Linked DNA regions of Canis lupus familiaris. The main gene of each other region encodes a partner of the protein of the gene in region 2 in a complex. Links are inferred from orthologs where the notes say so. Each region holds a gene or a part of one and is shown on either strand. Other genes may lie near its edges. The genes, in order: LRRK2, SFN, RIPK2, EIF2AK2, SOS1, MLXIPL and PIN1.

Evidence for each region.
Region 1: the proteins of SFN (region 2) and LRRK2 are in contact, whole or in part, in a crystal structure (PDB 5MYC), measured with the Homo sapiens proteins. The link is inferred for Canis lupus familiaris from reciprocal best matches to the Homo sapiens genes SFN and LRRK2. Residues at the interface, in NP_006133.1 of Homo sapiens: Lys11, Glu14, Glu39, Asn42, Leu43, Ser45, Val46, Lys49, Asn50, Arg56, Arg60, Phe119, Lys122, Arg129, Tyr130, Pro167, Ile168, Gly171, Leu174, Asn175, Val178, Tyr181, Glu182, Asp215, Leu218, Ile219, Leu222, Asp225, Asn226, Leu229; in NP_940980.4 of Homo sapiens: Lys907, Ser908, Asn909, Ser910, Ile911, Ser912, Val913, Gly914, Glu915, Phe916, Tyr917, Arg918.
Region 3: the proteins of SFN (region 2) and RIPK2 are in contact, whole or in part, in a crystal structure (PDB 7OBS), measured with the Homo sapiens proteins. The link is inferred for Canis lupus familiaris from reciprocal best matches to the Homo sapiens genes SFN and RIPK2. Residues at the interface, in NP_006133.1 of Homo sapiens: Lys49, Arg56, Arg60, Lys122, Asp126, Arg129, Tyr130, Pro167, Gly171, Leu174, Asn175, Val178, Tyr181, Glu182, Ile219, Leu222, Asp225, Asn226, Leu229, Trp230; in NP_003812.1 of Homo sapiens: Leu535, Gln536, Asn537, Lys538, Ser539, Met540.
Region 4: the proteins of SFN (region 2) and EIF2AK2 are in contact, whole or in part, in a crystal structure (PDB 7OBK), measured with the Homo sapiens proteins. The link is inferred for Canis lupus familiaris from reciprocal best matches to the Homo sapiens genes SFN and EIF2AK2. Residues at the interface, in NP_006133.1 of Homo sapiens: Lys49, Arg56, Lys122, Asp126, Arg129, Tyr130, Glu133, Gly171, Leu174, Asn175, Val178, Glu182, Leu222, Asp225, Asn226, Leu229, Trp230; in NP_001129123.1 of Homo sapiens: Asn546, Glu547, Arg548, His549, Thr550, Cys551.
Region 5: the proteins of SFN (region 2) and SOS1 are in contact, whole or in part, in a crystal structure (PDB 6Y44), measured with the Homo sapiens proteins. The link is inferred for Canis lupus familiaris from reciprocal best matches to the Homo sapiens genes SFN and SOS1. Residues at the interface, in NP_006133.1 of Homo sapiens: Glu14, Asn42, Ser45, Val46, Lys49, Arg56, Phe119, Lys122, Arg129, Tyr130, Pro167, Ile168, Gly171, Leu174, Asn175, Val178, Glu182, Leu218, Ile219, Leu222, Asp225, Asn226, Leu229, Trp230; in NP_005624.2 of Homo sapiens: Arg1158, Pro1159, Glu1160, Ser1161, Ala1162, Pro1163, Ala1164, Glu1165, Ser1166.
Region 6: the proteins of SFN (region 2) and MLXIPL are in contact, whole or in part, in a crystal structure (PDB 8BTQ), measured with the Homo sapiens proteins. The link is inferred for Canis lupus familiaris from reciprocal best matches to the Homo sapiens genes SFN and MLXIPL. Residues at the interface, in NP_006133.1 of Homo sapiens: Gly53, Arg56, Ala57, Arg60, Gln67, Arg129, Val178, Tyr181, Glu182, Lys214, Thr217, Leu218, Gln221, Leu222, Arg224, Asp225, Asn226, Leu229, Trp230; in NP_116569.1 of Homo sapiens: Arg117, Ile120, Arg121, Asn124, Trp127, Arg128, Ala129, Trp130, Tyr131, Ile132, Tyr134.
Region 7: the proteins of SFN (region 2) and PIN1 are in contact, whole or in part, in a crystal structure (PDB 7AOG), measured with the Homo sapiens proteins. The link is inferred for Canis lupus familiaris from reciprocal best matches to the Homo sapiens genes SFN and PIN1. Residues at the interface, in NP_006133.1 of Homo sapiens: Tyr19, Lys49, Asn50, Arg56, Arg60, Lys122, Asp126, Arg129, Tyr130, Pro167, Gly171, Leu174, Asn175, Val178, Glu182, Ile219, Leu222, Asn226, Leu229, Trp230; in NP_006212.1 of Homo sapiens: Arg68, Arg69, Pro70, Ser71, Ser72, Trp73, Arg74, Glu76.

Annotation. Positions count from the first base shown.
Region 1 is NC_049248.1:33,158,459-33,162,722, reverse strand, and holds the start of LRRK2 (leucine-rich repeat serine/threonine-protein kinase 2), read right to left. Parts: upstream 3,064-4,264; 5' UTR 2,962-3,063; coding exon 2,808-2,961; intron 2,554-2,807; coding exon 2,468-2,553; intron 1-2,467. UniProt on the Homo sapiens protein: Serine/threonine-protein kinase which phosphorylates a broad range of proteins involved in multiple processes such as neuronal plasticity, innate immunity, autophagy, and vesicle trafficking.
Region 2 is NC_049223.1:72,665,204-72,668,482, reverse strand, and holds SFN (14-3-3 protein sigma), read left to right. Parts: upstream 1-1,402; 5' UTR 1,403-1,502; coding exon 1,503-2,249; 3' UTR 2,250-2,751; downstream 2,752-3,279. UniProt on the Homo sapiens protein: Adapter protein implicated in the regulation of a large spectrum of both general and specialized signaling pathways. Binds to a large number of partners, usually by recognition of a phosphoserine or phosphothreonine motif.
Region 3 is NC_049250.1:35,952,670-35,955,758, reverse strand, and holds the end of RIPK2 (receptor-interacting serine/threonine-protein kinase 2), read right to left. Parts: intron 2,779-3,089; coding exon 2,623-2,778; intron 2,026-2,622; coding exon 1,688-2,025; 3' UTR 523-1,687; downstream 1-522.
Region 4 is NC_049238.1:29,682,569-29,686,356, reverse strand, and holds part of EIF2AK2 (interferon-induced, double-stranded RNA-activated protein kinase), read left to right. Parts: intron 1-2,809; 5' UTR 2,810-2,822; coding exon 2,823-2,941; intron 2,942-3,324; coding exon 3,325-3,445; intron 3,446-3,788.
Region 5 is NC_049238.1:31,204,734-31,208,521, forward strand, and holds part of SOS1 (son of sevenless homolog 1), read right to left. Parts: intron 3,338-3,788; coding exon 2,682-3,337; intron 1-2,681.
Region 6 is NC_049227.1:6,563,133-6,566,920, reverse strand, and holds part of MLXIPL (carbohydrate-responsive element-binding protein), read right to left. Parts: coding exon 3,716-3,788; intron 2,430-3,715; coding exon 1,883-2,429; intron 1,604-1,882; coding exon 1,536-1,603; intron 1,457-1,535; coding exon 1,034-1,456; intron 969-1,033; coding exon of another isoform or gene 943-968; coding exon 823-942; intron 637-822; coding exon 509-636; intron 427-508; coding exon of another isoform or gene 426-426; coding exon 302-425; intron 1-301. UniProt on the Homo sapiens protein: Binds DNA as a heterodimer with MLX/TCFL4 and activates transcription. Binds to the canonical E box sequence 5'-CACGTG-3'. Plays a role in transcriptional activation of glycolytic target genes. Involved in glucose-responsive gene regulation.
Region 7 is NC_049241.1:51,560,221-51,564,657, reverse strand, and holds the start of PIN1 (peptidyl-prolyl cis-trans isomerase NIMA-interacting 1), read left to right. Parts: upstream 1-1,486; 5' UTR 1,487-1,634; coding exon 1,635-1,692; intron 1,693-3,695; coding exon 3,696-3,908; intron 3,909-4,437. UniProt on the Homo sapiens protein: Peptidyl-prolyl cis/trans isomerase (PPIase) that binds to and isomerizes specific phosphorylated Ser/Thr-Pro (pSer/Thr-Pro) motifs.

The DNA.
Region 1 (4,264 bases), on a different chromosome or scaffold from region 2:
ATCTAATTAATGCACAATGGGAAAGAGTCTGGGGTTAAAGAAAAATTTAGTGACTTTCATTTATTTCGTTCTCAAAGGTTGCAACTGTGTGGATAAAGACAAGTAATGTAAAATTAAGGAGCACTGAGAAATGATGAGATGATTGGCAAAAAAAGGAAACTACAGGACAGCTAGCCTAACTACCAATTCTCTAAAGACTGTCATTTATTAAGGAGCAGTAATAAAATGTAAAAAGACCTTGAAAAAAGAATTTGGAGTCTGGAATATCACATTAAATGAATTCTGGAAAGAAACATTAATATTTACTTTTAAATTTACCTTACCTTCTTCAATTCATCATTCAGAAGTTTTAATTCAGCACTTCCAACTAACTCAACATATAAAGCATTAAAGGATGTGTGTGTGTGTATGTGTGTGTGTGTATATATATATATATATATATATATATATATATTACACCACAAATATGAAGAAATCTGAAGAAAAAAAAACCACTTTAAGTGGAGTATTAAAATATTGGTAAAGTGACCCCTTTCTATATTCCCTTGATAAGACCAATGATAATTAAAACTGATAATGTAATTGTGCCTAGCAAGGCCACAGTATTTGTAACAAATCACTGTACTTCTTACTTGCACGAAAAGCTTGTGAATTCAGAACGTATAGTGAAAAGAGATTCTGAAGGTATGTGAAGACTTGAGTCCTGGCTCTGTCATTAGCAATGTGGTACTTAGCTCTGGTAAAATGTAAAGGTAAAAATGTCCAGTGAGATTTCTGAGAGAGCAGTGTGATTCCAGTGAGAATTAAATGATGGGATAACATGCCTTTTGCAGACTAATACATGGTGGGGAAATGAATAATTCTATTCCATTAAGTAACCAAATCAAAAGACAATTCCTTATTTTCTTGCATACTTTGTCTCCGGTACCCACTGGACGAGGTATTAAGTGGCATTCAGAGCCACTCCATGCAAACATGTCCAGGTGTGGATAGCTTCTAAAACAAAGAATGAAGTGGTGGGTGGGTCTGTTCCAGCCTCCCCTGGATTCTCAAGTTTAGCACTGCCTCTCTGGACCCTGCACAGCAAGCCCTCCAAAGGTCCCGCGGGTTCTGAGTGGCACCCAACAGGAAGATCCTCTATACCATGCACGGAAGCCAAGGAATAGAAGCTGCCAGACAAGGCACTTCTGAACACCAAAGCAGAGGCAAGTGAGAAGGGATGATGTGGGAGGGAAGCAGCAAGCACAATGGGCCAGCTCTAAAATGTGACTCATATTTCATGGGCAAAATTCAGGCACTGGATGCTAAAACGAACAGTGTCTCTATCACGCCTCCCATCTTTTCATGATTTTGTTTGCTAACAACTTGAAAATCAATAGTCAGATGGGAGATGTTTCAGTTGAAGAAAATTTAAAATAACCATTTATCCCAAATGTAAATGTCCTCATTTAAAAGAAGCTAGGAATATGGTTCACCCAGACTAGACATAGCTGGATACAGAGATGAATGAACATAAAGATAAAGGTAGATACAGATTTAGAGATCCAGATAATTCCTACTTGCGTCTAGCCTCTCCAGTAAATATTAAGAAACACTGGCTTTCTGACTACACCTTGACAGAGTTCAAAGTTCAATTCTCTTTCTCTTCAGGACCCAACAACATGCAAGTGCCTGATTTCAGTTCTCTAAATCTCAAATTCTACAAAGGAAGTCAATATGTTAGCCAATCATTTGTTTTGACTGTAAATCATCCTCAATTATCATCTTCATTTTTTTTAATATATTGAAGGCATTTAACAAATTTTTGTGTTTCCTGTGGTACTGATTTTAAGTCTCACTTTTATATTCAGTTTATATGAAAAGAGTTGAAAAATACAAATATAAACTTACAGGAGGATGCTAAGACATCGCTTTCTTTAGATAACACAATGCACACTACAATTAAAGGCCAGAAATCTGTTCTCAAATTTAAAAAAGAAAGAAACAAAGCTTAAACCTATGAGAATTTGCCAGTTACTTCATTTTATTAATTTAATCATCATTAATTTTTTAGTGGCTAATTATTCTCCTTTCCCTAACTGTTCACAGCGGTGTCATCTCTAGAACATGCTGTTCTTGGTAAGATTCTTAGAATAATTTGATTAAATGCTGATACTGGTGAACTCATCTAGCCAATCACAGAAGTAAATTTCAACTTCTGATTATTTCCTACCCACCACCAACCATATTTTGTAGGTCAGTTGTATAAACCTACTTCTCCAAAACAATTAGGGAGCTCTTAGCGGGCCCTTTCACATCAGTAACATTTGACCATGACTTGTATCGCTTCCTTCTTCAAATCACAGTCAGTGGTTTGAGAAGCCAAATGCCAGAATTAACCCAGAACTTTTGGGTGTATAATATTGACAGAAAAACATCTATTTCCAGACAGAAAGGAGAACGGGTGACATGAAAACAACTCCTTTACCTGCTGCACACTAGCGACTCTCATATACAAGTCCAAGACGATCAACACAGGCACGTGGACTTTTTTGCCTTGAAATAACTTGGAGGCTGGAAGAGAAGGGGGTGAGGGAAAAAGAAGCAAAGTCACCATCCACGCACAGGGGATGAAACAGGGGGAGAAAGCAAAAGAAGTGAGCGCAAGACCTCCCTACAATTCTCAGCTCCTTTCTGCCCTAAGGAGTTGACAGTCTGTGGCTTCTCACGAGCCCAGGTTTGTGCAACTCGGAAAAACGCGAGGGAGAAAGTTTGCAAAAAAGAGGCGGGAGGGGAGCGGAGGAGAGAGTTTCCTTGCGACTCATTACCGTGGTCGGCGTACGTGAACACCAGCATATCCTCCAGGATTTGGACCAGGGTCTCTATCTGTTTTCCTTCCTGGACATTGTTCAGCCTGACTATCAACTTCTTCAGAGTTTCCTCGTCCTCCTCCTCGCAGCCCTGACAGCTGCCACTGGCCATGACGGACTCTGCTCCACGCGGGTCCCTCCCTCGCGGAGGCCGGCGGCTGGGGCCGGGATAGGGGCGGGGGTTAGAGCCGGGGGTTAGGGCTCGGGGTTAGAGCCTAGAGCCGGGGGTTAGGGCTCGGGTTAGAGCCCGGGGTTGGGGCTCGGGGTTAGAGCGGGGGGTTAGAGCCCGGGGTTAGCACCCGGGGTTAGAGCCCAGGGTTAGGGCTCGGGGTTAGAGCCCGGGGTTAGAGCCCGGGGTTAGGGCTCGGGGTTAGAGCCCGGGGTTAGAGCCCGGGGTTAGGGCTGGGGCAGGGCCTGGGGCAGGGGCCGGGGAGGTGGGGGGGGGGGTAGGGGGCGGGGTTAGGGACCGGAGTTAGGGCTCGGGGTTAGGGCTCGGGGTAGGGCCCAGGGTTAGGACCCGGGGTTAGGACCCGGGCCCGGGGCTCCGCCGCCGCTCGCGGGCACGAGCACAGCTCAGCGCCGCAGCCTGCGCTCCCCGCCCGCCCCGTCCGCGCCCACGCCCGCCGCTCGGGGAGGAAGGCCCCGCGCCCCGCGCCCCGCGCCGCCCTCGCTCGCCGCAGCCCTCCTCCCCGGCTGCCTCCTCCCCCACCAGGGCCGCAAAGAGGAGCTCAGCGGCCTGCGGAGGCTCGGCCGAGGGAGGGCGCGTGCGGCTGGGGCTGGGCCCGGCCGGGTGGCCCCGGTCCCCGACCCGGAGAGCGCCGCCTCCCGGGACCCGCTCCTGCTCCCCGCGGCGGCGCGGCCGGGAGTCGCGCGGGAGGAAACGGAGCCCCAGGCCCGGGCCCGCCGCCCCCGCCCCCGCCCCCGCCCCCTCCCGCCGCGCCCCCGCCCCCTCCCGCCGCCCCTGCCGCGCCCCGGGCCCCGCTCCTTGAGCGCCGCGGAGGGGCCGCCCGCTAGGAAACCTAAAAAATGAAAGCCGCCGCCTATCTCCAGATCTAAGAATAGAAATCTGGGCGTCGGGAAAGGAGGGCACCGCCCAGTTGGCCCCTTTTAGGAGAACATGTTCTTTAGAGTTCCCCCTATAGGGAAATGAATAATTTCCCACCAGGGATGGAGAGGGATTTCTGCAATCAAAATGTGCCCGGCTGAAGGCTCTTTTTTTTTTTTTTTTTTTTTTTTTTTTTTCCTGTGGTTGCTGTGGCTTTTTGTAGGGGAGCAAATCCCTTCCCACCCAGCCACCCATTCCTCCCGCCCCCTCAGTTATTTATCGTAAAGCTCCGTTGGCCAAAAGTTCACTAAAATTAACTTTTGGAAATTTGAGTTTGCGCTCCGTAGGGTCTTGATAATTGGGGCGCACC
Region 2 (3,279 bases):
TCACAGGCACAGGGCCAACACCTCAGGTGAAACTCCTGGCTGAATGAGAACAGCATCCCAGCAAATAGGGACAGAAGGTTGGCAAGAGAGAAGTCTCCCATCTCTGAGTCCTCTACCAGGGGCCAGAGGAGGGGGGGGCCATAATCAAAGGGAAGGGACAGGGAAATTTCTGAGAGGCAGACTGGGGGAGGCAGCACTCACCTGGTACTGCTACCCTATAAAACAAAATGGTATGTGTCACCGCCACCTTCTTTATCTTGGTCCTGTCTCTCTCTCCAGGTGCTAGCGTCCCCCTTGGGGAACCAAATTGGGCTGAGCACCCAAGTGGCCTGCTTCCCAGCCTTTGACAGAAGGCAGGCTGAGTCAGGCAGGAGAGCTGGGCCCCCACCCTGTGTGAGCCCCACTGATACATGATGGCAGGCGGCTTGGAGGGGGTAGGTGACCTGGCGTGGAGAGCCAGAGGGTAGGTCCTCAAACAAGTGGTAACAGGCCACCAACTTGAAAGGGAAAATTGTGCTGTGATGGGGAAGGTGTCCAACAAACCTACTGGATGACTAATTACAAAGGCTGGGCTGGAGCGTCAGGGGCCGCTCATTAAATACCTCATTAAGTGGCACCCTGAACGATGCCACCTGTGCATTCTGGGACCTCAGAGGGAACCCTGAGGGGGGGTGATGACCAAGGGAGAGAACCATTTCAGGTAGACTCCGGAAGAAGCCTGGATTTCACTTCTAAATACAGTCTGGAGCTTACAAGTCAGAGGCCTTGACGAGAGAAGCCAAAGGAAGTAGGATACAGGGGATTTATTAGCTGTGTGACCTTGAGCAAATCTCATCCCTCTCTGAGCCTTAGCATTCCCACCTCTAAAGTGGGAGTAAAAGTCATAGTCTGGCCCATCTCACAGAGACATAGTAAGGATTCAATCCAATCGTGGCTGTGAAGGTGCTTGGGAAACTACAGCCCTACCTAAACATAATTATCTCACCCAAACCAAGGTGGAAAATGTACCTGGTAGGATTAAGAACCCCATCCTCCTGGGTGCACCTGTCTTCATGCGCTCTAGCCAGGCTGAAGCGGCCACTTGGTTGAAGCCATCCCTGGCCCCTGGAAGAACACCATGAAGGAGGATCTGATTTGAGAAACTGGGGCATCTGGGTGGGCACTCATGGAATCAAAGCACCGAACAAGAGGGGGCAGCCTGGAGCTTGGAAAGGTGTCCTGTGCAGGTGGGGCCGACGCCCGGCGGAGTTCTCCCGCAGACTGAGCCCCGATGACTCACCCTACATCCCAGCCTTTTACCTTTAAGGAAGAGCCGGAAAGGGTGTGGGGAGAAGACCAGAGGGAGGCAGGTCCCGGGCCCCAGCCCCGCCCTCGGTCCCTCCCCACCCCTCTCTGGGGCCAGACCTTCCAGCCAAAAGGCAGGCAGAGAGCAGGAGAGGCACAGAATCCGGCATCGGTTTCAAGGCAGCCAGTTAGCCCGCCGCCTGTCTGTCACCAGAGCCATGGAGAGAGCCAGTCTGATCCAGAAGGCCAAGTTGGCAGAACAGGCTGAGCGCTACGAGGACATGGCAGCCTTCATGAAGAGCGCCGTGGAAAAGGGTGAGGAGCTGTCCTGCGAAGAGCGAAACCTGCTCTCGGTGGCCTACAAGAACGTGGTGGGGGGCCAGAGGGCTGCCTGGAGGGTCCTGTCCAGTATCGAGCAGAAAGGCAATGAGGAGAGCTCGGAAGAGAAGGGCCCGGAGGTGCGAGAGTACCGGGAGAAGGTGGAGACCGAGCTCCGGGGCGTGTGTGACACGGTGCTGGGCCTGCTGGACAGCCACCTCATCAAGGAGGCCGGGGATGCCGAAAGTCGAGTCTTCTACCTGAAGATGAAGGGCGACTACTACCGCTACCTGGCCGAGGTGGCCACTGGTGACGACAAGAAGCGCATCATTGACTCAGCCCGGTCCGCCTACCAGGAGGCCATGGACATCAGCAAGAAGGAGATGCCACCCACCAACCCCATCCGCCTGGGCCTGGCCCTGAACTTTTCTGTCTTCCACTACGAGATCGCCAACAGCCCCGAGGAGGCCATCTCACTGGCCAAGACCACCTTCGACGAGGCCATGGCTGACCTGCACACCCTCAGCGAGGACTCCTACAAAGACAGCACCCTCATCATGCAGCTGCTGAGAGACAACCTGACGCTGTGGACCGCCGACAACGCCGGGGAAGAGGGGGGCGAGGCTCCCGAGGAACCCCAGAGCTGAGCCGCCCACCGCGCCCTCCCCGCCGCGCCCTGCCCTCTCCAGCACCCCGCCCGCCCGTGGCAGAGAGGACTAGTGTGGGGTGCGAGGCCCGACCCTCCTACCCCAATGCTCTGCCTCCTGCTCACGAGAGCTCCGAGGAGAGGAAGCAGCAGAGCTGAGGCCGGCTAGGGCCGGGGGACTCGCTCTTCCTGCCGCTGTCGGGGCCCGCCCACCCCTGCTCTCCGCACCCCTCCCCGAAACCCCACCGCCAACCGGGCCACTTCCTCCCCCTCCTGCCTCCCTCCTGCCCCCCGTTGCCTCTGAATCTTAGGAATTGAGGAGTGTCCCACCCTTGTGGCTGAGAGCTGGACTGTATGGCAGAGCCTGGAGATGAGTGTGTGTGTGTGAAAGAGCGAGAGCGAGTGAGAGCACGAGTGAGAGCGCGCAAGACCCGGATGAAAGGGAAAGCATGTCTGCTGGGTGTGACCCTGTTTCCTCTCAATAAAGCTCCCCTGTGACACTCCTCCTGTCTCTTCCAGTTATTGGCGAAGCGATGGGACAAGGACTGGCTTATGATTTAGAGACCTTGACTTCTGATTTAGGGCCTTGACCTCTCACGGGGCTGGCTCAGGGACCCACAGGCAAGACTCTGGAGCCAGTGACCCCAGGTGAGAGGCTGGGGGGCAGGAGGTCCAGCTCTCCATCAGGGTGGCCCCCAGCAAGCTGGTCTGGTCCCGGACGGTCGGGGGAGCGCAAAGGCGGCCCTAAGGCTGCTCTAGGGCTGCAGGGCGGGGGGCTGAAGAGTCCAGATCTGAGGGGACAGGAAAGCCTCTCAGGTGTGAGGTCCGAGCGACAAGGACAGGTTGTAGTGAGCCGCAGCGAGCACCCCGGCCTTGAAAGCGAGTTAGAGGCCCATCCAGTGCTCAGATCTGAGAGGAGGGGAGCACAATCTGGGTAGAGGCTTGCGCCGCCATTAAAAGCCCGTATCTGAGAGGGGATGCCCCCGCCCCCAGCGCTCCGACTCGGGGACGGAAAGAAAGGGTCCGGCGAG
Region 3 (3,089 bases), on a different chromosome or scaffold from region 2:
CATCCTACTACTTCTGATTGCTGTCATACTCCCATATCGTAGTACAATTTAGTATTTCTCACTATCTTTCTGTTTGAATATTATGAAATGAAACTTTATATATTATAGATACAAAACTAGTACCGCTTGTCATATGGAGGTCATTTTCAAATAAAATGCAATTAAAAAAAACTATAAAATTCTGGCTAAATACGGTTTCTTAAGTTCTGAGCCTGAAGTCTGTTTTTCTTAACAAGGGGGATTAAAAGAACACCGCACAATTGTGACATTCTCCTTTACTTATTTAAAAAGGCTCAAAGAAGAACTGAAAAGAATTTCCTTACTGTTTGACTTAAATGTTATTTGGTGCTGTGTCTATGTACTACCTAAAACGATCCCATCTTCTCAACTTATTTCCCAAATTAAATCTTTATCCTAACACTTTAAAAATAAGAGATATGATAACTCGTATACTTAATTGGTTTCTATTTTTCCCTACTAATTTCCATATTTCTCAGAGACATAGTAATGAGGCACCACGGGTTAATGTCAAGCTCCAAATGGAGATTAAAATACTAAATATTTTAATAAAATATATAATTGCCCCCATGCTTTCTGGTCATTTTTACTCTTCTTCTTCTTTTTTCATACGGTGGGTCTGGTCCTTCTTGAAAGTCTGTACTTTCAAATTTATCCTGCATCACAGTTTTTGATGACATTACTAATAAACATTTTCAGAAGAGCAATTATGCCTTGTAAGTTTTCATTTAGTGACATAAACCAAAACAAACCAAAACAAAACAAACAAAAAAAACCCCACTTCACATTGTATCATTATTGTTTTGGCTAAACTTGAACAAGTTAAAAAAATAAAAAAGCAGCCTTGATACTATGCAGCAGTTAAAAAGAATGAGTTAGATTTATACATGACCTGGAAGGCTGTGCATGATGTACTATTAAGTGCAAAAATTAGGTTGTAGTATGATGTACTGTAATAATATTAACGAAAAACCCTTTCCCAAATGAGCATATACATGTCAGTAGGAAGAAGGGTATAGAAGGATAAATATTGTGCTGTTAGTTTTAGTCACCTTGGTTGCTAGCTGAGGTTAGAAGTGAGAGCAGAAACATATGTTGAAAGATTTTTTTCTTCATCTCCTTTGTATCATTTGACCTTTGAAACTTTTTTTTTTTTTTTAAGAATTCAATGAAGAAGATTTAAAAAATGTAATCTGGATAACACAGTTTAATGCATAACCTTTTGGAGAGGATTTGAACCTGGCACTCTATGTTAGAAATGGTGCGCTAACTCTAATTTGAGTATAAAGGTTAAAGTTCCAAAAGCCAAACTGTATCTTTGACAAGTAATAAATCATCCACAAGGAAAGTGAATATGAAAATGGCTTCCATGAGCAATGCATGACACCTCAAGGCATTGTGATATATGAGAACTATTACATTTAAAAAATAATTTCAATTAACCAAGGAGACAAAACAATGGAACCATGTAGCAAAACACAAACTTTCCAATATATTAATTTAAAAACATACTATAATGTTATGGAAGAAGACTAATATTTACCTGAAGAAGAAACTTCAATTAAAACTTCTAATATTCATGTGGATTTTATAAAAACGACATGATAAAGGCAACAGAAATATAAAATAACCTCTTATAGAAAGACTTTTCTTCTTGAAAAAGAGTCACTTATAAGTTTTTATTTTGAAATGAATTTAAAGGTTGTGATCGAGAAACCACAAGTATTTCCGGGTAAGGCTGAAGACCCATTTGCTTGTTATCTTTCAACTTTTGTACTATAATTCTGGCAAATTCTTCTCCTTGGATGTCACTGGTGTCCAGTAACTGTCTGACTTTTGAGGTCCTTGTAGGTTTAGTACTAACGAGTTCATAGTCCTCCTTCATGATCAAGTCCCTGGACAGGAGAGCATCTAGCGACTGGTTAAGGCAGGCTTCTGTCATCTGGCTCACAATGTCTTCCCTTTTACTCTGGATCCACTGCTGGGCTATGCCAGGCTGTAATCGCTCTGCAGAAGAGCAAAGGATAACAAAGCAGTTGAGGACAGCTCTATGGCTATGAGTAAAACTGGATAAAAAAGAAATAATGAGGAGTAAAACCTAACTTTCTGTGATTATGCTAATAGGGAATACAGGAATTGGGGGATGCTGTTAATTTTTGGGAAACACTCAGATATTTGGGTTATCTCTTCTTTTCCCTTCAGTTCCCTTCCCAGAAAAAGTCCTTTTATATGTTTATAAATCCATGGGGGTAAAAACCCAATCTATATTATACATAGAGATGAGCACTGGGTGTTATTCTGTATGTTGGCAAATTGAGCACCAATAAAAAATAAATTTATTATTAAAAACAAAAACAAAAAACTTTACTTTTAGTAACATACTAAGTCACACCTCCCTCCCTAGATAGATGTTCATGGAATACCATGTGGGCCTATTATCACATGTCAGCACTCATATCTTCTAGGATTGCAAGTGCTTTCCTATTTAAGAAGGTATGTGTTTATTGTGTTGAAGAAATAAAGATGAATAAAACTAACTGTGTGGGAAATCTGAGCGTACAGTTGTAAGGTAAAGAGCATCATTTACAAGTGTTAAATATTTACCTGTGTTTCCCTCAGCTGAGAATGGATTTATTACTGTTAACGCGCATGGGGTGGTCTTGTGATCACAAAACGTCCACTTCTGAGCTGCAGAGATGTTACTATTGCAACTGTGATTTACTGGATAGTGACACACCGGAGAAAAGTCTTGAGTTTTTCCTACAAAACACAACATCTTCATTAGGGGTAGAAGAGTCCTTAGCTATTCCTATTAGCTAAAATATCAACATCCTGGTCATACGGAAAATAGTATTGTCTTTAAATTTTCAGTTATTAAAGCTGGTTCATAAATCTAGTTCTAAAGGCAAATACATCTTAGAGCAAAAGAGGGTTTATAATCAATGTTTTTACCTCATGTCTATGTTTGTTGTATGTGAATCATAAATCATTGGATTTTACTTCTTCACATGATCCCTAATGTTTTCTGTGTCTTCTTCCTCCTTCTGTACTTTAAATGTGTCCTCTAAATC
Region 4 (3,788 bases), on a different chromosome or scaffold from region 2:
TAATAATTTAGAACAGAAATCCAGGGGTGCCTCGGTGGCTCAGTCGGTTAAGCGTCTGCCTTCATCTCAGGTCATGATCCCAGCGTCCTGGGATCGAGCCCCACATCGGTTTCCCTGCTCAGTGGGGAGCCTGCTTCTCCCTCCACTCTGCACCCTCACTTGTGTTCTCTCGAGCACTTGCTCTCTCAAATAAATAAAAATCTTAAAACAACAACAACAACAAAAAAACAACAAAAAACCCCCCATTAGGGCAGCCCTGGTGGCGCAGCGGTTTGGCGCCGCCTGCAGCCTGGGGTATGATCATGGAGACCCGGGATCGAGTCCCGCATCGGGCTCCCTGTGTAGAGCCTGCTTCTCCCTCTGCCTGTGTCTCTGCCTCTCTCTCTCTGTGTCTATGAATAAAAAATAAATAAATAAATAAATAAATAAATAAATAAATAAATAAATAAAAAATAAAATAAAAATAAAAAAACCATTAATCCAATCACATCCCCTCTCTACTTAGAGAATGTCCAGTAACTTCCTATTGCAATTGGAATACCATCCATCAGTTGCGACCATGACCTATAAGATCTATACGCGCTGACCTCTCTGACTCACTTCCTGCTTTTTTCCCCCTCACTCACTATGCAGCCATCCCCTTGATCCCTTGATGTTTTTATTCTCCCTTCAAAGGCCATGGTGGTTACTGAGTTACTTTTCCCCCATATCTTGATATAATGGACTCATCATTCAGTCTTCATTTAAAATTGCCTCCTATGAAAGGTCTTTCCTGACCACTGTATCTAAAAACCACCTCCCTCATATCTCTGCCTCTACCTACCAACTCACCTTCTATGCCACACCCCTATCTAATTTCACAATAGCACTTCTGGCCATCTTATCATATTATCCACTCCCGTTATCTGTTTCTGTGCATGGCCATTTCCTGTCTTCCCTCAGGTCAGGTGTTCATTTGTCTTGTCCACATCTGTATACTCATTGTCAGAATGGTGCCTGGCACTCGATGAGTGTTTATTGAATAAATGAAGAAAGGATCCCCAGAAAATAGCAGATGAAGAAAAGGGAGCAGATGAGGGGGTTTCAAGTAGAGTATTTAGTTTTAACAGGTCATCCTTTCATTTTCCTATACACTATCCAAGTGTTGGACATTTACTACTTGTCACTGGGTATTGGTGATACAAAGATGAATAGGACGTGGAACCTGCTTCCCAAAAAGCTCACTGACTGGGCTGTTATGAGGGCTGAGCCAGGTGGAGTGGCAGGCCCTTGGAGGAGTACTGGCTGCCCCTCCAACATCAAAGAAAACTTGTCAGCCTCACAGATGAGTAGGAGTTGCCTGGTAGACAGAAGGTGTAGATACTGCATTCAGAGCAAAGCGAAAAGCATGTGACAAGTAATGCAGATGGAGGAAGGTCTGCTGATATTTTGGTATTCATTCATTGATTATTGACCCCCTATAATAACAGCCTGGCCCCCTCCCTCTTGTGGCTCATGGTCTCTTTTGGAAGATAGTCATTTATATAAGCAATTGCAGTAAAGTGAATAAGAGCTGTGATGGAGTGCCAAACAAGGACTTCTAGGGTCTCTGGGAAGGGACCTCTGAGCTGTGATCTCTAGGAAATGGGAGTTGACCAGGTGGAGGCAGTGGAAGGAGTGAAGTCAAGGAGGCAGCCTATTGAACAGAAACAGAGTCATGAAATAGTCAGGGGTAGAGGTGTTAATGATGGTGATAACCATCATTGTGTAGGTGAAATTTAAACCCATAAGTCTAGAGGTGATCACCAGGGGAGTGAGTGTTAGTAGAGCAGAGAGGAGATCTATAGATATCCTATTCTGTAAATTGTCTTTTCATTTTCTCCATAGTGTCCTATGTAACACAGATGTGTTTTTACTTTTGTTAAAGCCCAATCTATCTGTTTTCTTTTGCTGCTTGTGCTTTTGCTGTCATCGCAAAGATTCCATTGCCAAATCCAAGATTATGAAGATTACCCTTATTTTTTCTTCTAAGAGTTTTATAGTTTTGGCTTCTATATTTAGATTCTATATTTTTTTAGATTTTCATTATGACTTAAATCACTGCTACTCTCTTGGTCTAATAGACCCATAAATTGGGGTCATTATTTATCCAGGTAAAAGTGACTAATGCATATTTTAAAGGGAAGATTTTTGAGATTTCATTGGGGCATCTATTTCTATATAGTGAAATCTTCGATCATTTATAGACTTCACTTTATATGTATACTCTCAACCTTTTTTTTCTCATCATGAAGAATTCTGATTCTACTCGTGTAGCCTTTTTACCTTCTCACGCAGGTGGAGATACCTGTACCTGACACTCACTGGCAGCAGAGAGAAAAGTGGAAGAAAAAGACCCCTTTCCTTTTTTTGACCAGTTGAGTTTTGGAAGTAGAAAGTTTTGGAGAAATTAGCTTGGTGTGCAGTTCATGAGAGAAAAAGATTTTGTAAGACGTTTTCTCTGGATTTATGTGGGGCTGAAATGAGTCTATAAGAAAATTCTTGAGACGCTTGGGTGGCTCAGCAGTTGAGCGCCTGCCCTCGGCCCAGGGTGTGATCCTGGAGTCGGGGATCGAGTCCCGCATCGGGCTCCCTGCATGGAGCCTGCTTCTCTCTCTGCCTGTGTCTCTGCCTCTCTCTCTCTCTCTTCTCTGTGTCTCTCATGAATAAATAAGTAATTTTTTTAAAAAAAGAAAATTCTTCTGATCCTTTTTTGTCTCCTGCACTGAATTGGGAAAATGAGATTAAATATATTCTGTGTCACTTTTTTCAAACATCTCTTCTGTTCTAGGTTACTAGAGGAAATGGCCAATCAGCGTCCACCAAGTTTTTTTATTGAAGAACTTAATATATTCTGTCAGAAGCACAGAAAGGTACTTAAGTATAATGAACTGTCTAAGGAAGGACCTGCACATAACTTAAGGTAAATTTCTACTTTCTAAAGACTTTTTTAAAGCATTCTCAATACCCATTGTGGGTCTCAACCTGACAACCCTGAAATCGAGAATTGCATGCTCTACTGACTGAGCTAGCCAGGCACCCCAAATTGCTGTTTTTTTTTTTAAAGGTATAGCTGTATAAAATATGAACTGGAAGAATGGCAACTCTGGCATGATTTTGAAGTACATAATTAGCTCTAGAGCAAAGATGATGTGCTATTTGGCTGAGTGAGGGTGACTGCTTAAATTCTATATTGAACAGGTTAAAACCTTCAAGGTAGTTATGGGAGACAGTGTGATTGGAATACTTGTCTGTAGATAATGCAGGAATTTTATAACATTTTATGAATATTGCCTTTGTAATCAGATTTACATTCCAAGCTATCATAGATGAGAGAGAATATCCAGAAGCTGAAGGTAAATCAAAGAAGGAGGCCAGAAATACTGCAGCCAAATTAGCTCTTGAAATACTTCATAAAGAAAACAAGGTGAGTAAATGCCCCTTCTAACTTTACTTTGCAAGAAAACACACACAGAATAAAGCTATTCACAAGTACTTTTACATTCAGAAGTTGGGTCTTTTTCCTCCATCTCCTTTTCTGTAGAGCCTAGAGTCAGAGGTATATCTAGGAAGTAGTGGGCAAAGCCTGAAAATTACCTCTTTAGAATGCCAGCACTAAAGACAGCCTATGAAGTTGAATGCATAGGAAAGGAAACAGTGAGAAATGAGTCGACAGGTTCTGACAGGAGTCTCCCACCTGATTGAGGACAAAGAACAAAGAGATGGAAGGACCTTGCGGAGAATGACTGATCAGCAGGACAGGTGATGGA
Region 5 (3,788 bases), on a different chromosome or scaffold from region 2:
AAAATAATCTTGTCAGTTTAAATGTGAATACACTTAGGCTTACAAAGTCCTGTAGATCTAGAAATTTCAGTGTTTTATACTAACTAGAAGTAAAACCATTGAAAATACTACTCTATTCAAAAGCTAAAGGTTAATATAAAGAAGAGCCACAATCAAAAATAACTCACAAGACACTACAGCAAAAGTACTATGTCTACAGACTTGGCTAGCATTGTGTACATTAAGGAGAAAAAATAATCAAGACTACAGAAAAACTCTCAGCTATGCTTGTTCAAGTTTTGTTTTAAAGTGTTTTCAATTCAAAAAATAAATAAAAAGCAGAGTTTCCAGAAAATATTTAATTGTAGTTCTGCAACTGTTTACTAATAAGTTAGTTCTGTGAAATGCAGTTTTTAAAAAAAACTTTATCAACAATCAAGTTTTACAGAAACAATTATATTAAAAAATTTGGAATCTGAAAATGTTTTCCAATTTAAATGCCACTATGGTGACATAATAAGTCTTCTTTAGCACTTTCTACTTAACATTGCTCTACAGGAAAAAAAAAACAGTAAAACTTTTGTCTTATGTAGATAAAAATCTAAGGATTAATTTAATACAGTCTAAGAACTCAAAGCAAAGGTATTTAAAATAAAAAACAGTTTAGGATGTTCATGCTAATGAAATCAGTGAATCATCTAAGACTGAGAATAATGTGGCAAGAAGAACAATTTGAACTTGTGTAACAACCTTAAAAATTCTTAAAAATCAAAGAAAGAAGTATTCTGCAACCACAAGTTTCGAGTAATTTAATGAAACATTTTTGTAGTTGATTTTGATCTTAAAGAGTACACAGAAACTGATGAAGATCACAAAATAGGTTAGTCATATTAATTACTGAAAATTATACCTCTCAAAAAGTTTTATATAACATAAAAAAAGATGCTAGAGTAATCTGTTTCTTTTTTATGTAAAATCTTAGGCAGCTTATTTAACTTTCCTGTGCTTTTTTTCATTTTTGAGTCAGTAAAATGAAAACACTGATAGCAGAAGTTTCTAGGTGAAAAATCAGTAGTAAAATTGGAATCCCAGAGTAGGTTTCTTGCATGATCTTCAACGTGTTTCAGCTACTGCCTGCTACTACCAAATGGAATCTGTTTAGAGAATCCAAACTGCTTTTAATAACCTATGGAAAACACTAATATTTTACTATGGAAAAGGCTAGCTAGCAAAAGAACTACCAATTGGAGGCCAAATAAAAATTAAAACCAAAACAAAACTGGCTTATTTATCCCAGAGACATGTGGAGATAATGAAACATGATATTAACGAAAGTGTTTTGATATCACTGATAAAAATATTCTTTTTTTTTTTTTTGATAAAAATATTCTAACTTGATTTTACTTTTTTTGCAAAGAGGCCCTGATAGTTTCCAGGCCATTTAAGTAGTTCTGACTGGACATTTAATAAATCAAACAGATTAATATTATCAAATGCTATTCATCTTTATTACAATGGATCAGTTAATGGGTAATCTTTAAAAGTTTAACTGGTGCCAGAACAGTTTCCAGAGAGAACTGAGAACCCATTTAGAGGACTTTAAAAAATGAAAAAACAAAACAAACCAAAAGACCCCCACCTCCCTTAGAAATACACATCTCTTAGAAATAAGAATATATTTAAGCAAGAAGTATAGGGATGGAGGTTAACATTCACATTCAACTACTTCAGAAGAGCATTTATGTTATAAGATATACGTTTGAGTTTATAGATCTTTGTAATAAAAACATTCTTTGAAATTTTACATTTATATTTACAAAGAGCTTTTGCATATAGTCGTTGATCTGTTCTTTCCAATAACATTCTAAGGTTGCTGTTGGGATGTTGATTTTTGGGATGAAAACTGAGGTCTGGGACCTTAGGGAACTGTGACAGAGTGAGGGTGTAAATCCAGATTTGGTGCTCTTTCCACTATACCATAGGCTACAGCACTGTACAATTACCAAGCTTTCTATCGTGTAGGAAAGTTGAAGGTTGAGGAACATTGGATTATCATGGGTTACTTTACTAGAAGAAATAGAATTACTTTAAAAAAAAAAAATCATGTTTGTTCCTAAACTCTCCCAACATTACATTTGATTTGGCTTCCACCAATCTTCCTAGGTAGTTTGGATGCATTTGTCTCTTAAAAACTGCCCTGCTAAGGTAATACTGTTTTCTTAAATGTGATCAATTGTAAAACAGAAAAAAAATATTGAAAACTTTAATGAAAGTTTTAGGAATGGAAATTAAGAAAAAGCAATGCGCATATTCCAGCACAGTTCTGGTAATGAATGTATACTAAAATTTTTACTGACTTTAAGATCTCAGTAATGGAAAGAGAAGAAAGAAAGAAAAAAAAAGGTAAAGGTTTTTAGACCCTAATGATGATTTATCTTGTTTCTGCCACCAATTGGGTAAATTTAGCCAAGTGATTTTATTTTCTTACTTGTAATTCTGGTTGTAAAGTTAAAAATAATATTTAAATGTGGCAGAAAAGGTACAAATGGCAGTATTTTTAGGCAAAGGAAAATGAACTCGGAATAATGCAGAGATCTTTTGTTGTTAGTTTGCTTTCTATTTTAGGCACAATGACCTGTGCAGCAAAGAAAATCAGTTGGAAGCAGGAAAATAAAAGTGACAGGCAACTTTATATTTCTTACCTGCGTACATATGGTACGTGAGCCTCTCTATAAGTTTAATAACAGTTCCTGCTTTGATAATTGGAATTCCAGCCTTGGGCTGCATGTTTTCTTCAAATATTATATTCTCTTCAGAGTCAGGCTCTGCAAATCTATAAACATCGGCACTAGGGAGCCTCATCTGCTCCTCCTTCTCTTCCTGTAGCATCGTCACATCAAGCATCCTTTCCAGTGTACTCCGGTACTGTAAAGATATCAATGCTGCCATCCAATTGTTTTTCTCTTCAGCTGACTTGGCAGAAAATATAACACTATTTTCATCTTTTAAAATTATTTCAAAAGCATGCTTGTACTCACTGGTGTCATCTTTGTCATTAATTTGTACCTTTCTCATGAAAAACTTTTCTTTAAGACGATATTCTGCATTGCTAGCACCAGGAAGTCTTGGCTGCCCATGATTTGATTTACAGCAAATCATTAAGCCATCAAAGAGAAATATGTGTCTCTCATGTTTGGCTCCTACACGTGTAAGAGTTCCTTCCATTATAAATTCATTGCAACATTGTCCAATGTCTTTTCCCTCCCAACCATCAATATTCTTTTGAATCTCGTTCATTTTCTTGATTGCTAGTTGTTTCCCCTTCATTTGCTGACTATAAAACCGACATGCAGATTCACTGGGATAAAGGAAAAAAACATCATTAGTACACAGATGACAGACAATCTAGAATTCATAAAATAAAGGACAATATAAAAGTACATTTTAAAAAGTTGCACGGAGAAGGCTTTCATTAATTTTCCAAATATATTAGTGTTATAAAACTGCACCATTTTAGGAACTAAAGCAACACAGTAGAGACTTTTTTTAGTGCTCTAAAAAGAACAATGAGTAATGACAAAATTCTACTCTATAAATTTAGCTATGGAATGATTATTTCTACCTTGACTTCTAAATATTTAGAATGACAAATATTAAAAAGTAGCCCAATATAGTGAAAAAAATCGTTTAAAAGACTTTAAAAAAATTATTTAGAAGTGTTTAAGTGGACAAATCCTAAAGCTAACAAACATGCACATATTATAATTAAGAAAGTGGAAGCAATGTTATCTGAATTAATACCTCAAGTT
Region 6 (3,788 bases), on a different chromosome or scaffold from region 2:
CACTGTGGCATCATGAACTTTGAAGCCTGCTGCAGCCACCGCCCCCCATCCTGCCATGGCCTGTCGGGGGCCCTCTCTGCCCTTCTGGGCTGCACCCAGGGCCTCCTTCCTGAGTTTCCCTCTGCTCCCATCATAACACCGGGCACTCCTGCTGGCCAGGATGCCAAAGACCTGGAAGGACTTGAGTCTCTTCCCCTGGGGGCAGCTCTGGGCCCCTGCCTGGCCTGTGGAGCTAGCCTGCAGTCAGGCACAGCTGGGTCTGGCTCCAGCACTCACGCCACCCCTGGCCGAATGAGGATACTACCCAGAACTTCCAGTTGTGCAGCGTCCGGGTGCGGACATAGTCGTCAAACATGTCTCTCATCTGGTCGAAACGCTGGTGTGTAATGGGCACCCCAGTAGCAGGCAGCTGCTGCTGGCACAAGGCTGGGGGAAAGGGGGGCCAGTCAGGGCTGGGGAGTCGGGCAGGCCTACCCCCTTGCCCCAGTGCCCTTGGTCCCCCACCTACTTGATGGCAGCATTGAGCTCCTCGATCTGGTCCCGTAGCTGCTGGGCCTCCTCCTGCATGGCCGCCCGCTCTTGCTGCAGCATGGCGATGTACTCAGCCGTCTTCTGCAGCGTGGTTGCTTTGCTCACCTGTAGGCATCACCAGGGTAGGCTCAGGTGCTAGAAGTGGCCCCACTCTGTGGCCCACTGAGGCACTGGGTGGAAGGTGGAAACTGGGTGTCCAGAGGTTCCTGGGATTGGGTCTTGGACGGTGGGAGGGGGGCCTACGAAGGAGCCTTATGGTTCTGGGGGTGCCAGCTGGGGCTGGGGGCTCACCTTGAGGCTGGGCTGGGCGCTGAGTGTGCTCACCAGCCCGTGCAAGGTGTCAAACCCCAGCTTGATGTTGAAGCGCCGCTTCTGCTCTGCAGAGATGTGTGTGATGCGCCGGTTCTCAGTCTTGGGGGGCAGACAGTGGGGTGAGCCTAGGAAGGAGCATGGAAGGGCCTAGGGGTAGCAAACAGATCTTGGGATGAGGGAATGGTGCCACCTTATTGTTGTCTGGACGGCCCCGGCTGAGGATGGGTTGAGGGGGAGAGACGTGGACGCTCAGAGTCCCCAGGCCCTGCATGGAGCTGAGCTCCCCAGACAGCCGCCGCTTACCACCTGTGACAGGGACAGACAGACCCACAGACAGACCAACACAGGGGAGAGGGTCCCATTGCCCTGTTCCTCTCATCCTGGCCTCAGATGTCATCCCTCCTTCTTCCTTCCCCTTTCTCCATCCCCTGGAGTTCCCCAAGCCTTGCAAGCTCTCTTTACCGCTGTGTGCTGGGGGTGAGAGCCGCTCCGCTTTGGGGACAATCAGGGGCCTGGGAGGGGCCAATGTGGCTGGGCCTGGAGGTGGCCGGGGCGGTGTGGGGGCCGGGGTCGGGGGGAGGAAGGTGCAGGGGAATTCAGGGGCCATCTCCTGCTGGGGTGGAGAAGGGCAGAGAGTTAAAAGGAGGTAAAGCCTGGGGCCCACCCTCACCTCCCAGTGCCCACCATCTTACCGGGGACCCTGAGGGCCGAAGGAGGGTGCTGGACACAAGTGGTGGTTCCAAGGTTTGCTCAGGCTTGGCTGTACACAGGCAGAACTATGAGCGCCACTGGGGCCAGCCTCAAGACCGTCCCCCCATCCACTGGGGGGACCCAACTCCCAAGGCCCCGTCTCGCCCTTCCAGAAAGTCCTGCTCCCCTTCTGGTTTCAGGGCCCATGTCCCTAATTCCTTGCCACCTCCCCATCCTGCCAGCTGAGCCTGAGCCTGCCCCTTAAACTTCACCCTCTGCTCCCCCAGGCTCCCCACTTCTACATTTGGTCCCACTTTCCCTCTGTGGGATCCTGCTCTTCCCATCTCACCTGCTGTGAGCAGCTGTGTGAGGCAGGGGTTGCTGCCTCCCGCAGTGGCAGTGGAGTTGGCCGTGGCAGGGGCCAAGGTTGGGGGACTGGGCTTCCGCCCTCTAGGGGATGGGGTGGGGGGCCTGCCTCTGGGCCGCATGCTTTGGGGTACTGTGAAGTGGGGCCCAAATTGGGGCTCCAGATATCCCGAGGGTAGAAGGTCTATGGGGAAGGGGGGAGGGGCAGGGCCTGGGCCAGGCTGTGGGGTCGGTGGGAAGGCAGTGGGAGCAGGCAGTGGGGACACTCCTGGGGCAGGTGGGATGGTAGAGAAGGGGAATCTGGGAGAGAAGAGAGGTTCTTCCTGCAGCAAGGCAGGGGGAGGAGCCATGGGAGGGAAGGTGGGGGGGGCACAGGGCTCTAGGCCAGGCCCCTTGGCAAGGGCAGGGTATTGGAAGAGCGGTGGGGGTACTGGAGGGGGTGGCAGCTTGGGCTTGGGGTCTTCAGGAAGGAGGAAATCAGAGTTCAGGAAGGCACTGGAATCTAGCGGGCCAGGGCAGCTGCTCCGGGCCTGGTTGGGGAACAAACAGAGAGCAGGGGGGGAACAGCTGGCTTTTGTAGCCACCCTGGCAGCCTCTTGCCCTGGCTGAGCTCTGGACTGGGCACTGGGAGAGACAGGAGAAATGGTCCCTCCTGTCCCCACCCCCCACACACCAAAGGAAATTGTAATCTAATGAGAGGTGGGAGTGGAACACACGTATGCACCTATTAGGTGTGAGAAAGAGCATCAGTCTTCCTGCCTATATTTGCATTTGCCAGATAATTTCTCCATCCAGCCACCAATCCATCCACTAACCCATCATCCTCCGTTCACCTATATGTCCTCTCACTGCTCTGTCCTCCAGCCCACCAGGTATTAGCCCATTCACCAATCCATCCAACCGTCTCTCCTTAATTCATCCACCAACCCATTCATAATCCATCCACCCATCCACCATCTGTTCCCTGACCAGCCACTTATTCAGCCACCAGCCTATTCATCAACCCATCAAACTATGCATCTTCAAATCCATCTACCAGCCCTTCCATCCAACCGACCACTCACCTACCTAAATGTACACCAACCCATGTAAGCAACCACCTCCATCTACAACCCATCTATCAATTCATCAACACCCCATCCATCTACACACTCATTGGGCAACCATTTACCCAGTGCTGCCAATGTGCTTGGACTGTGCTAGGTATGGAACATGGAGTGGCGAGCAAGGCTTAGCTCTTCCAGCAAGGAGCTCACTGTCTAGTTGAGGAGATCTCTCAACGATGAACTACAAGAATGCCTGAACAGGCTGATGATAGAGGGAAAAGGCTTCTGACCAAGCAGCAGGGAGGTGACATCTGAATTGAGCCTGTGAGTTCCCAATCCACAATGGCAGGTTCACCATTTCCTAAACACTCACACTGAGCTTTCTGTCTCCATGGGCTCATTTGTGCTTGTCTCCTCATCTGGCTTGCCTTCTATTGGTCTCTTTTTCTGTCCAAACCCAATCCATTCACTAAGCCCAGAACCTCCCCTCCTCCAGGAAGCCTTTCACAAGCAACCCACTCTTCAGTGGTACCCTGGCTCCATGCCCCTACCCCCAGCCTCCCTTCTACAACCACCTGGTCCAGTAATGCTTCACGATCTTTCCATCCCAGCTGAATGGTGCCCTCTCACAGGGCAGAGATGGGCTCTCTCTCCCCCTTCAGTCCCTCTCAGTCAACCAAGCACAGGACTGGGCACTCAGGAAGTACCCTATCTCCCAGAAACAGGTAGGTGACCTAGGCAGGACTGAGTGTAGCAGAGCTGGAGCTCACCTGCAGGCGGTTATGCCCTGAGAGGTGGGTCACGCCTGATGAGGCAGGGGGCACCTCTGAGCCCAGGATCCCA
Region 7 (4,437 bases), on a different chromosome or scaffold from region 2:
ACATATTTGAATGAATCCAGAAATTTTGGTATATAGTTTTTACACAATTAAGATAATTATACATATTCTGCAGCTTCCTTTTTGTTTTTTTTAATGCTTTGATATCTTTCTATAACTAATTATTTTCAATTAATGTTTGTTGATTTGTTATGCTTTCATACATACTATAATTGCTACACTGTACAGTGACTAGCTTTTCTTTTCACTCATCAAACATATTTTTGCTATGAGGCAGACGCTGTTTGGAGAGCATTCTACAGATTAACTCAATTTTTGCATCAAAGGTATGTATGAGATATATATATTTCTTATTCTCATTTGCAGATGGAGAAGCTGAAAAGCTGAAACACAGAGATTAGTTTCTTCAAAGTCATAGCCAGGCTTTGAACACAAGCGATCTGGCTCTTGAATGCTCTTAACCTACTATATCCTATTTCTTGTAGACATGTTTTCCCATGTTTTATATGACTGTGCCTCATTTTTTTTTTTTTAAGATTTTATTTATTCACGAGAGACACACACAGAGAGAGGCAGAGACAGGAAGAGGGAGAAGCAGGCTCCATGCATGGAGCCCGATGTGGTACTCGATTCCGGGACTCCAGGATCACGCCCTGAGCTGAAGGCAGGTGCTACGCCACTGAGCCACCCAGGGATCCCCGCCTCATTCTTTTTCAATGGTCACATAGGGGTCTAGTTCTAGATGAACTATCATTGAACTCTTCCTTGTTGGTGTCTTTGCCTCTCGTATCTATCTCCAGCCTGTCCCCAGGCACCTCCCCAGAGTCCCACAGGTGCCGCAGACTCAATTTTAAGACGATTCAAACTGAGCTCATCATCCTCCTACAGACGCATCCTCCTGTGTCGCCAGCTAAGTGGCCATGCCAACACCCACCAGTCACCCAGGACAGAGGCAGGAGCCAGACCGAGAGAATAAGTTAAGTAGGTTCCAAAGGAAGTAGAAGATGTTTGGTCAGTGGCACAGGGAAAGGGTTAGTCTCGCAAAAGAAAAAAAAAAAGTGGGGGGACAGCTTTGGACATCTGGAGGAAACAGGTGGGGAGAAGGAGGATGGAGGAGCCAAATTTAGGCTTCTTCGCTGCTCATCACCAAGGCAACTGCGTTGCTACGGCAACAGCTAAGGCAGCACCGCCTCTTTCAAGTACCTCGTGGGCTGCCGTCACCTCGAAACCACCCGGACACTTCCGCATAAGGGGGCGCGGGCCTCCGGGAACGGCTGAGGAAGGCGGGAACTACTGCCGCAGTAGCCAATCGGATGGGGCCTGCGGCGAAGGACGCAAAGGAGGTGCCCGGACTTCTGTGAAGCTCGCCGGAGGCTGTGGAGAAGGACGGGCTCCAGCCCCTTCCCTACCAGTCAGCGGCCGAGGGAGGAAGGGGGCGGGATCCGGGGGAGGCCGTACGGGGGCGGGACCCGGTAGAACGCACGGAGGGTCCGCCCAGTCTCGCCGCTACCCAATAGAAAGCCCGAAGGCCTCTCCGGACTGCTCGGGCGCCCAATGAGCATCGTCGCCGGGCCCCGGGGCGAGGCGGGCCGAGCCAATCGGCGGCGGCGGTGGGCGGGTGCGGGCGGCATAGGCGGTGCGGCGGAGGCGGAGCGGGCGCTGCGGCAGGAGGGAAGATGGCGGACGAGGAGAAGCTGCCGCCCGGCTGGGAGAAGCGCATGAGCCGCAGCTCAGGTGCCGCGGGGGTCGGGGCTGGGGCGGGGCCGCGCGGGCCCGCGGAAGCAGGGCTCGAGCTCGCCCCTGGGGCGCGGCGCCGCCGCCCGATTCCCGTGGGGTCTTGGCTCCTCCGCGTCTTCCCAGGGTAACGGCCCGGGCCCGCCCCGTGGGGGCTGCGAACCTCAGGAGCGGGGATGCCGGAGGAAACTGAGGCAAGGGGCGGGGCCGGAGAGACCCAGCGCGCTGCCGGGGGTGGGGGGGGCGGGGGCGGGGGGCCGGGGATCCCGCAGCACTCCCCCAGGTGATGGCCCTGGCCCTGCCGATCCGGCTGACACCTTTTGGCCTATTGCACCCGACGTCCCCGGGGACCGTGTCTGCACCCTGCTGGGCCCGGGGGGCACCCCGGGGAAGGACACCCCAACCCCACGCTCAGGGCGTGGCCTCAGAGCGTTGCCGGGCCTCGGGCCCACAACCTGCCCCTGCTAACCCGCCGGCCATCCCCGCCTAACCCGAGTCTGTCGTCGCCGCCCGGTGGATGGACCCTGTGCCGGGAGCCCGATCTGAGGCTTATCCACAGTAATAATACCCGTAACCGCACGCTCATCTTACCGCCCAGCCCTGTGCCAAGTGTGTTTGGAGTGTGTTCTCCCTCTCTCTCTCTGAATGACCACAACTCTGGGAGGTGGATAGTTATCACCCCGTTTTGCAGGTGAGGAAGCAGAAGTCAGAAAACTTAAGGAGCTCCCCCAAGGTCATTCATTTCAGGGGGTGGGGGCTGGATTAGAGTCCGGTCAGTCTGACAGCAGAGCCCGCCTGCCCTTGTCACTGCAGACCAGTGAGGAGCAGGCCCAGCATCTCACCGCACTGCCTCCCCAGCCCATAAAAATCACAGTCACAGTGATATCTGCTCATTGAAGGCCAGGCCCTCTGGTGAGCACTTTGCACGGATCATCACTGTTCTCCACATTAGCCCCGTGAAGTTATGTCCTTAATCTCTCGCTTCACCCCCACTTTTCAGATGAGAAAACCAAGGTTCATGGAGAGAGAGGCCATTGCAAGGTTTTAGGGTCGGTCACTGGCTCAGCTCTCACTGAGCCCGCTCCAGCCCTGCTCCGTGGCCACAGCTGACAGCATGAATCCTGATGCTCTGCCCTGTTCTGGGCCCCCTCTCTGGCCATTTCTGCTCGGCTCCACCCTAATGGTCTTCCTCAGGGGTGACCTTCAGTTCTTCACGGTGCTGGGTGCCAGTCGTGCAAAAATCTCAGCCCCTGGAATGATGCCTGGGCTCTCCTGGGTTCTACCTCAATCTTCTCTCTTGTGGCCTTCCCTCCTTCCTGCTCCTTGGGCCCTGGGTAACGTTTGACCCCCCTGTACTGCTGGTCCATAGTTGTGCAGCGCTGTACACTGGGTGCGGGTTAAGAACAGAGCTTTCATGTTTGGCAACCTGGGTTTAATTCCTGCCTCCAGCCATGTGTGCCTGGGGCCAAGTGTACACTCAGGAAACATTCCAAAGGTGTGGAAGGTGAGGCCTCACTTCTGTCGTCTACAGGGAGATGATAGCTGTCACGCTCCTAATGTGTACTGGGCACTAGTCTAAGTGTGTTACCGCTGTGAGCTCACTCAGTCCTTAGCACAACCCTACAGGCAGGGACTGTTGTTATCTGCATTTTACAGGTGACAAAATCAAGGCCCAGAGAGGTTAGCTCACACAGTGAGTGACAGCCAGACTTGAACAGGCAGCCTGGCTGCCTGTCCCCACACCGGCTTCGTCTCTCCTGTCACTCTGGGTGGTTTTCCTCCTTGAAGTCACTAATAACTGAAGTTATGACATTGTCTTATTTGCTTGTCTGGGGCCTGCCCATCCCCATCTAGAATGCTGGCTCCCTCGGGGCCTGTAGCTCGAGGTGGACTCAGGGGATTTGTTGAATGAAGGAATCCCATTGGCCGGTCCGTCATCTTGGCCTCCGGGTGGTGTCCTTTGAGCAGGTCCCAGCTGAATTCCTGTATCCCCCCTCCTCCAGGCCGGGTATACTACTTCAATCACATTACTAATGCCAGCCAGTGGGAGCGGCCGAGTGGCAACAGCAGCAGTGGCAGCAAAAATGGACAAGGGGAGCCCACCAGGGTCCGCTGCTCGCACCTGCTTGTCAAGCACAGCCAGTCCCGGCGGCCCTCATCCTGGCGACAGGAGAAGATCACCAGGACCAAGGAGGAGGCCCTGGAGCTGATTAATGGTGAGCAGAGTTGGAAGCAGGTTGGAGTGGGGGGAATGTGGGGAGAGGTTGTCCCCTCATTGGGAGCTGGAGCCAGCCTCGTAGAAATCACACCAGGCCCTGCACCCCAGCTAACTCAGCTGTCAGCATTGGCTGCCACCGAACTGCCTGTACGTGACGTGAGCCTGGACTGCACAGCTGCCTCTCCTTTTTCTTTCTATTTGGCATTTGAGGGTGAGCCAGGTTACGAGAGGAGGACCCAGCCTTGGGGGCTGGCAGCCCTGGGTTCAGATGGTGGCTATGCCCTGTAAGCTCCAGGGGGAGCTTGTGTCATCTTGAGACTCAGTTTTCCCCTCTGTAAAATGGGTGTTGTCACATACCTGCCCATACCTGGTGTGTAGGTGCCAAGAAAACTATGAAATCAGCAGCATTTAGCTCACTAGGGCCATAAGTTGCAGAACCCTGGTATGGAGCTGCCTGGTATGGCTGCCACTACCTACACATGGCTGTTACTATTTAAATTAATTAAAACTAAGCCATATTCAAGATT